2 linked regions of the Callithrix jacchus genome follow. Each later gene encodes a partner of the first gene's protein in a complex. Links are inferred from orthologs where the notes say so. Each region holds a gene or a part of one and is shown in the gene's direction. Other genes may lie near its edges.

Region 1 (3,650 bases):
ATTTAGCAGCTTAAAACAGTATAAATGTATGATCCCACAAAGTCTGTGGGTCACAAAACTGGCACAGTGTGACTAGGCCTGTGCTCAGGGTCTCACAGGCTGAAATCAAGGTGTCTGGCAGGACGGTGAGCTCCTCAAAGGCTCAGGGTCCTCTTCAGAGTTTAAGTCTTGGCAGAATTCAGGTCCTTGTGGTTGAGGCTGCAGTCCCGTTTTCTTGACTGTCCTCTGCCCACCCTCCCTAGCACGTGACTCTCTCCACAGCATGGCAGCTGCTTCTTCAAGGCCAGCAGGAAAATATCTCTGACTTGCTTCATCTCTAAGCTCTAGACCCAAAGTTAAAGGGCTCCCCGGACAATCTCCCTTCTGGTTAACTTGCAGTCGGCTGCTTAGTAACTATAGTCACTTCCGTGAAGTCCTTTTGCCTTGAACATAATATGATCATGGGAGTGATGGTGTTGTATTCATAGGTCCTACCCACACTGAAGGGGAGGGGCTCATGAAGGTGCCCACCGGGCAGGGGAGCACTGGATCTTCAGGGCCATCTTAGATTTTGGCCCCCACAGAGCACATCTTGGCTCACACCTTATGCTCTTTCAATAGTATTATGGTCTACCATATTAAGAAAAAGTATGGCTCATGCCTGTAATCCCAGCAGTTTGAGAGGCTGAGGAGGGTGGATCACCTGAGGTCAGGAGTTCAAGACTAGCTTGGCCTACATGGTGAAACCCTGTCTCTGCTGAAAATACAAAACTTAGCTGGACGTGGTGGTGGGTGCCTGTAATCCCAGCTACTTGCGAGGTTGAGGCAGGAGAATACTTAAACCCGGGAGGCGGAGGTTGCAGTGAGCCAAGATCACACCACTGCACTCAGCCTGGGTGACACAGCAAGACTCCCTCTCAAAAAAGAAAAGTACAAAGACAATAGAAATTACTAGCAGGGATGGATGGGCCTGAGACTTTAGAAACACCTAAATGTCTGCATTTTTAAAATATTGCAGTGCCTGGAAGCAGCGAGCCCTTTCTGACGCAAGGACAGATGCCCAACAGCGGCATGCAGGACGTGTACAGCCAGAGCCCCTCCGGAGCAGTGTCCAGTCTAGGCATGGGGCAGCGCCAGCAGTTTCCCTATGGAGCCAGTTACGACCGAAGGTGAGGGTTTTCTCAGATGGCGACAAGATGATTTTCTAGAAACTGTGCTTTCTCCTCAAACACGTGCTTCTGAGTCCTGGCAGCTGAACCACTGATGACAGTATACAGTGTCCCCTTTCCTGTGAAAGTAAAGAGGCAATGGCTGTTGGTCACCAGGTGAGTGTCAGGTGGCTGCCTTCGTAGGAGTTATCTTCCTAAAGTCAAGAGCCAGGGCCACCCCAGTCACATTGGCACCCAGCATCAGCACCCAGCTTCCTTCTGAGGGCCTGGCAGCTGCACACTCCAGGTGTGGATCACCTGGAGCTCCTGGGTGCCTGGGCCACCACAGCACCAGCCTCCCTCTCCTCTTTTCTGTCTTGGGCAAAGGTCTGAGCAGGAGTAGCCACACTGGGCCTTCAGCATTCTGGAAAGGTCTTCCAGGCAGTGCATTTTCAGATGTTGCCACTCTTCCCTGTGAACATTTTAAATAGAGAGACAGTACTTTGCACCTTAATAAACATCTCTAGAAAGCCCACAGCACAAGGCTCACTGCAGCCTCGTAAGGAAGTCATCTTGATGTGAAAGTGGCAAGTTCAGCAGCCAGACTGATAATACAGACTGATTTTTAATTAGCTAGGAGGAAAAGTAATTGAAATGGCTCTGAAAGGGCGTCTGCAAACTGCTTCCTAAGATAACGGCCTAGGGTAGGCCTCTTTTTGTGAAGAAGGTCCCGTGCCTGTGCCCTGACTTCAGTACTTATCATCATAAACCCCTCCCCTTCGGTGGTGTGTTCTCTACCTCCTAACAAGAGACACAATTATAAACAAGGCTTTCATATAATATTTCAGATTTTTAAAGAAAAAAATACAGAGGCATACTAGAAGGGCCTTTCCCTCGCCAGAGCCACAGTGGCATGCCACAGGGTGGAGCTGACTTTGGGGTCGCTGCCTTTGGAAGCTGCGTGTGCTGTTCTGCTGGGGACCACTGGGCCAGACCCACTCACCTTTCATCATTCCACATGCTGGGGTCACAGGGACAGGTCGGTTGGTGGGAAAGCTTCCTTGCTGTAATACAAAGGAGAAAAGGTTCAAAAATCACTGCTTTACCAAATGAGGTTTCTTTATGGTATTGTCTGTGAGCCTGGTTCTGGGGAGTCCATCCCATGTTGCTTTCTCCTAGGCACCTAGGAATTTACTCTTCTAATTCTTAACCTGGCCATGATGTGGTCAGTATTTACTTGTGATATATTCATTCATCAGTTAACCATAAGGTATTGTTTAGTGTGCTGGATCAAGGATTTCAGTTAGGTTTGTTTCATTTTTGAGGGTCCAGGAAAAGCTACAGATGTTTTTTTGGTGGATAGCTGGCAAGATTAGAAGAAGAATTATCTTGGCGCTATCATATTAAAGATAGGTCTACTTCATTGTTAAGTTTTCTCTTCTGAAAAAACGTTGCTTGTTAGGCAACTTAAATTTTACCATGTCAATTACATTTCTTTCCTCTTATCTCTAAGCTTCCTTCTTAGATCTCAAGGTTAAAAGTTACTTATCGAAAGTGCCCATGTCTGTTTCACATGTGATAGTCTAAAAATTTATTTATTTTTATTATTCTCATTCTTCAATCACGTTGGGAATATATTCAGTCCATTGTTCTGTTTCCTACAAGACTTAGTATATTAACCTAAACCAGTGTATCTTTCAAAGTTCCAAATCTATTGCCTTTTAAAACTTGCTATTTTTGATGGTATTTGTAATTTCTTAATATGCTAGTAGTTGAAAGATAAAAGTATGAGTTCATTTCCATTTTAAGATGTAATAGGTGTACATTTAAATCATCCCTATTATTCTTTTCTAGCCCTTTGGGACATAGGACTTTGAAATTCTGAGCACTTGTATTTATACAGTGATTAGTTAGCTAACATTTGAATTAAGTTTGAAGTGTAGCTTTTAAAAATTAAACATTTTCCATTCATAATGAGAATGTGCAAAGGACAAACATGTCGGTGTTCTGGTACTTCTAGGAACATTGCTTTGAGTCTTAAGTTCTTCTCGTCGTTTCTGGCTTCCATGGATGCCTCACATCACAGCATTGTACGACACTTCCTAAGGCACACATCAGTGGAGAGGCGGGGCTGCGGCCTCCACGCAGAGGCCAGAGGCTCTGACAGGTGCTTACAGGGCGCCTGCCTGTTCAACCGGTATTCCTCTGACACCTATTAGCCAACAGCCCGAACCAGAAGTTTGGCACCATTCCCAAAATGGGTGTTCCCATCCCTGGTGCTAGCAGTTGGCATGCGGCTGCGTCTCAGAGGGCCTTCGTCGGAGGGGTGCACAGTGAAGGTCAAGCAGAGCTGCTGGGGGAATCGGGGTTCCTGGAAATGGATTGTTCCTTTCTCCGTTTGCCTGAAGCTCTTTCTCAGTTAAGTTTTCTTTGAATGCCTCGTTCCAGGCATGAACCTTATGGGCAGCAGTATCCAGGCCAAGGCCCTCCCTCGGGACAGCCGCCGTATGGAGGGCACCAGCC
Region 2 (3,412 bases), on another chromosome or scaffold:
GGGGCCTCTGGGACCCACTCGTCAGCTCTTGTTTAAGTTAAGAGGAAAACGTTTTGCTCCCCTTGGTGTGGGCTTGCTGCCTTTCATGTCTGCCTTCCAAGGAACGCTGCTGGGAGCCCCCACAGTGAGGAATGAGGTTTGGGGTTTGAGGCTGGGGCAGTCCCTAGCTTGCTAAACCACCCAGTGCTGGCTGAGGAACAGCTGTCAGGAGCTGCTGATGATGGGTCAGCCCCAGAGGGCCACAGGGGTGGGGCGCCAGCACTGTCTCTGGTCCTGGTCTCTGCGTCACCAGCATGAGCTCGAGCTTCTGGGCTTCATGGGCCTGGACCTGGTGGTCTGAGCTTCAGCTGTGAGGGTCAGGCCTGCTGCAGGGAGAGCCAGCCGCAGCCAGTGCCCTGCATGCTTACAGTCCCTGAGACCTCAGGCTGAGGAGAGCAGCACTGAGCCTGACCTGGAAAGGGCTTGAGGCTTCTGGTGTTGGGTGTGTGTGCACTGGTGTGGGTGTGGGGAGCCAGAGCTCTGCAGGCTGACCTCTGCAGCTGATGGGTCCCACAACCTCAAGCACTGGCTACAGGGAAGCTGTGAGAGGTCCCTGGCCCTAGAAAGCTCCCTCAGTGGGTGTGTATTGGCTTCTTTAGTAACATCCTTCAACAGCCTTTCACAGCAGTAAATGTTTCCATATTCCAGGTGAGGTCTGCAGGGACCTGTCTTCTACTCCGTCAGTGTCTGCCTGGCACCTCCCCTGAACCCAGCCTGCCCTTGCTCCTCCGAGCTCACGGTGTTTTGCAGGGTCGCAGGCTGAGGGAGAGCAGGGTGGCCTTCTCCCAGGGAACTGAGCAAGTGCCAAGTGGAGGAGAAAGGAAAGGACCACGAGAGGGGAGGGGAAGCAGGAGAGTCGTGATTAGGACCTCACATTGAGGCTTTCTGCCAGGCCAGGGGTTTGGTGTCACTCAACTGGGAAACAGCACCCAAAGCTGTTCTCTCAGAGGTGGGAGTGACAGGAGCCACTGCACGTGGGAGGCACATGGGCGCTGTGGCATCCACAGCTGTAGTCTCCTTAGCATCCCGTCACACTGACTTGCAAATCAAGGCCCAAAGGTGACAGCCAGCCACCCTCCAGTGCTCCTGCGCCCACCCCATGCCTGTGTAGCCTCTGCCCGTGCTGCCCCCCTCCTCCGCTGTGTCCTCTTGGCAAGGGGAGGGTACCTGGGGGCAGAGTTGGGTGGTCTTTGTGAGACCCAGGGCAGAGTGTGGTCCAGAGATATGGCTTCAGTCCAGCTCCCTGCCAGCCAGCTGTCTGACCCTAGGCACACACCAGCCTCTCAGAGGTTTGGTTGGGTCAGGAGGTGGGCTGAGGGGCAAGCGTGTGGAACAAGCAGGAGCAGGCTGTGCAGTGGCCTCAGTAGTGGGGCACTGGGGACTTATGGGAGACTCTTTTGCTCCCATTTGCCATCCATCCCTTTTCTCTGATCAGCGGGCCCTGGCTCTGGACACTGGGTGGAGCAGACAGCCCTCCTGACCGAGGCCCAGTGGCATCAGCCTGGCCCATCAGCGTGGCCCAGCCTGTGCTGTCCTGTCAAGGAAGACCTCCTCCACAGCCAGTGGCCCCTCCCCCATCTCAGAGACAGACAGACGCTAGGCACAAAGGGCCTGTTGAAAGTTCACTTTGAAGGGAAGCCCATGGGGTCATGGTGGCAGCACTGTTCTGGGGACAGCCTGGCACCTCCAGCAGCTCCCTTGAGGTTCAGGTGACAGGAGCATCCCTGGGTGCCAGCAGTGCTGCTGGGAGAGGCAGGGCACAGACAGGGGCCAGAGTCCCCTGGCCAGAGCTTTCTGAGGACTCTTCATCTATAGCTGGAAAAGTTATTCCTCTCACTGCCTCCCCTCCCTGTAGTGAGAACCCTCTACCCACGGTGGAGATTGCCATCCGGAACACGGGCGATGCAGACCAGTGGTGCCCACTGCTGGAGACTCTGACAGATGCTGAGATGGAGAAGAAGATCCGCGACCAGGACAGGAACACAAGGTACCCCTGGCACTGTGGTCCGGCTCTGCCCATAGTCACCTGGCTTTCCTGCCAGGGACAGGGCCATTGCCTTTCCCAGTCTCCCATGGTCTCTGGAAGAGAGTACCTCTAGTGTTGCTAGAGGCAGGCAGTCTCCTGGGTGATGAGGCCCCATCCAGGCCCCAGGGTATGTTTCCCTGCAGGGAATAAACATAATTCCTCAGGCTGGATCTGACCACAGCCCAGATCCAGGCTTCAGGATCCCTGGAGTGATGGGTAGGGTCTGAGCAGCAGACAGGTGAGGCTGAGAGAAGGCTGGGTCCAACCCTGCTGGGGGCCTACATCCTGCCTCTGTTCCTACCCCCACACCTGGCTACCCTGGAGAGCCTTAGGAAGGGCAGTGCCCAGGTTGGAAGCCGGCCCTGCTCACTGCCCTCCCCAACTCCTTCTCCAGGCGGATGAGGCGTCTCGCCAACACGGCCCCGGCCTGGTAACCAGCCCATCGGCATGCGGCTCCCACGGAGCATCTCAGAAGACCGGGCCACCTCTCCTCCATCTTCTGGCAAGGACAGAGGCGAGGGGACAGCCCAGCACCATCCTGAGGATTGGGGCGGGGGTGGAGTGGGGGCTTCCAGGTGGCCTTCCCCGGCACACATTCCATTTGCTGAGCCCCAGTCCTGTGCCCCCACCCCTCCCCAGTCCCTGGGGTCTGGAGGAAACCTGATTTTGGGTTGTGTTTTGTTTTTGTATAGGAGCCCCAGGCAGGGCTAGTTACAGTTTTTAAATAAAAGGCAACAACAGGTCATGTTCAATTTCTTTAAAGTTTTAGCATAAAAATAATGAGAGCCAGGAGTGGGGCTGGGGCCCGGAGGGACAAAGGTGGCATGTGAATAGGCTGGCAGGCCTCTCTCCCCTCTGCCTCAGATTCCCAGGTTGGGGTGTTGGGGGTGAATGGGGCTCCTGGTAGCACCTCAGTCCTCTCAGCATGTTCTCCTTCCAGACCCAGAAAGCTGAGAAGAATGGCTGTGGGGCTCAGGGCAGGGGCTTCCTGCCTTTCAGCAACAGCCCTGCTCCCCTTGCTCATCTTCAGGAAGGAGCTGTGAGCTCTTCTGCTGTGTCCAGATGATCAGGCTGCTGCCAGTTGGGGCCTTGCTGTTCTGGAGTCCCTGGCAGAAGGCCTGGTCCTGTGTGAGCACTGCTGGGCTGTTGCCAGCCTGGGTACAGGTGGCTGTTCTAGCTCCAGTGGTGCCCATAGTACTGGGGCCCTTTCCCCACCCCAGCAGGCGCTGTGGCCTGGTGCCAGCTCTTGGGGGTTGTCAGGGTGCAGGGAGGAGACACAGCCTGGGGCCCCTTCCCAGCTCTGTCTCCAAGGAGTTCGTGTCCCCCGTGTTCTCATCTGTAATATGG

What was found. Proteins that work in one complex are often made in the same cells at the same time.
Region 2: ARID1B (region 1) and SMARCB1 share a complex: the UniProt entries of both Homo sapiens proteins name them as parts of the neuron-specific chromatin remodeling complex. The link is inferred for Callithrix jacchus from reciprocal best matches to the Homo sapiens genes ARID1B and SMARCB1.

Annotation. Positions count from the first base shown.
Region 1 is NC_133505.1:164,029,193-164,032,842, forward strand, and holds part of ARID1B (AT-rich interactive domain-containing protein 1B), read left to right. Parts: intron 1-997; coding exon 998-1,148; intron 1,149-3,575; coding exon 3,576-3,650. UniProt on the Homo sapiens protein: Involved in transcriptional activation and repression of select genes by chromatin remodeling (alteration of DNA-nucleosome topology).
Region 2 is NC_133502.1:192,656,904-192,660,315, reverse strand, and holds the end of SMARCB1 (SWI/SNF-related matrix-associated actin-dependent regulator of chromatin subfamily B member 1), read left to right. Parts: intron 1-1,894; coding exon 1,895-2,026; intron 2,027-2,459; coding exon 2,460-2,499; 3' UTR 2,500-2,808; downstream 2,809-3,412.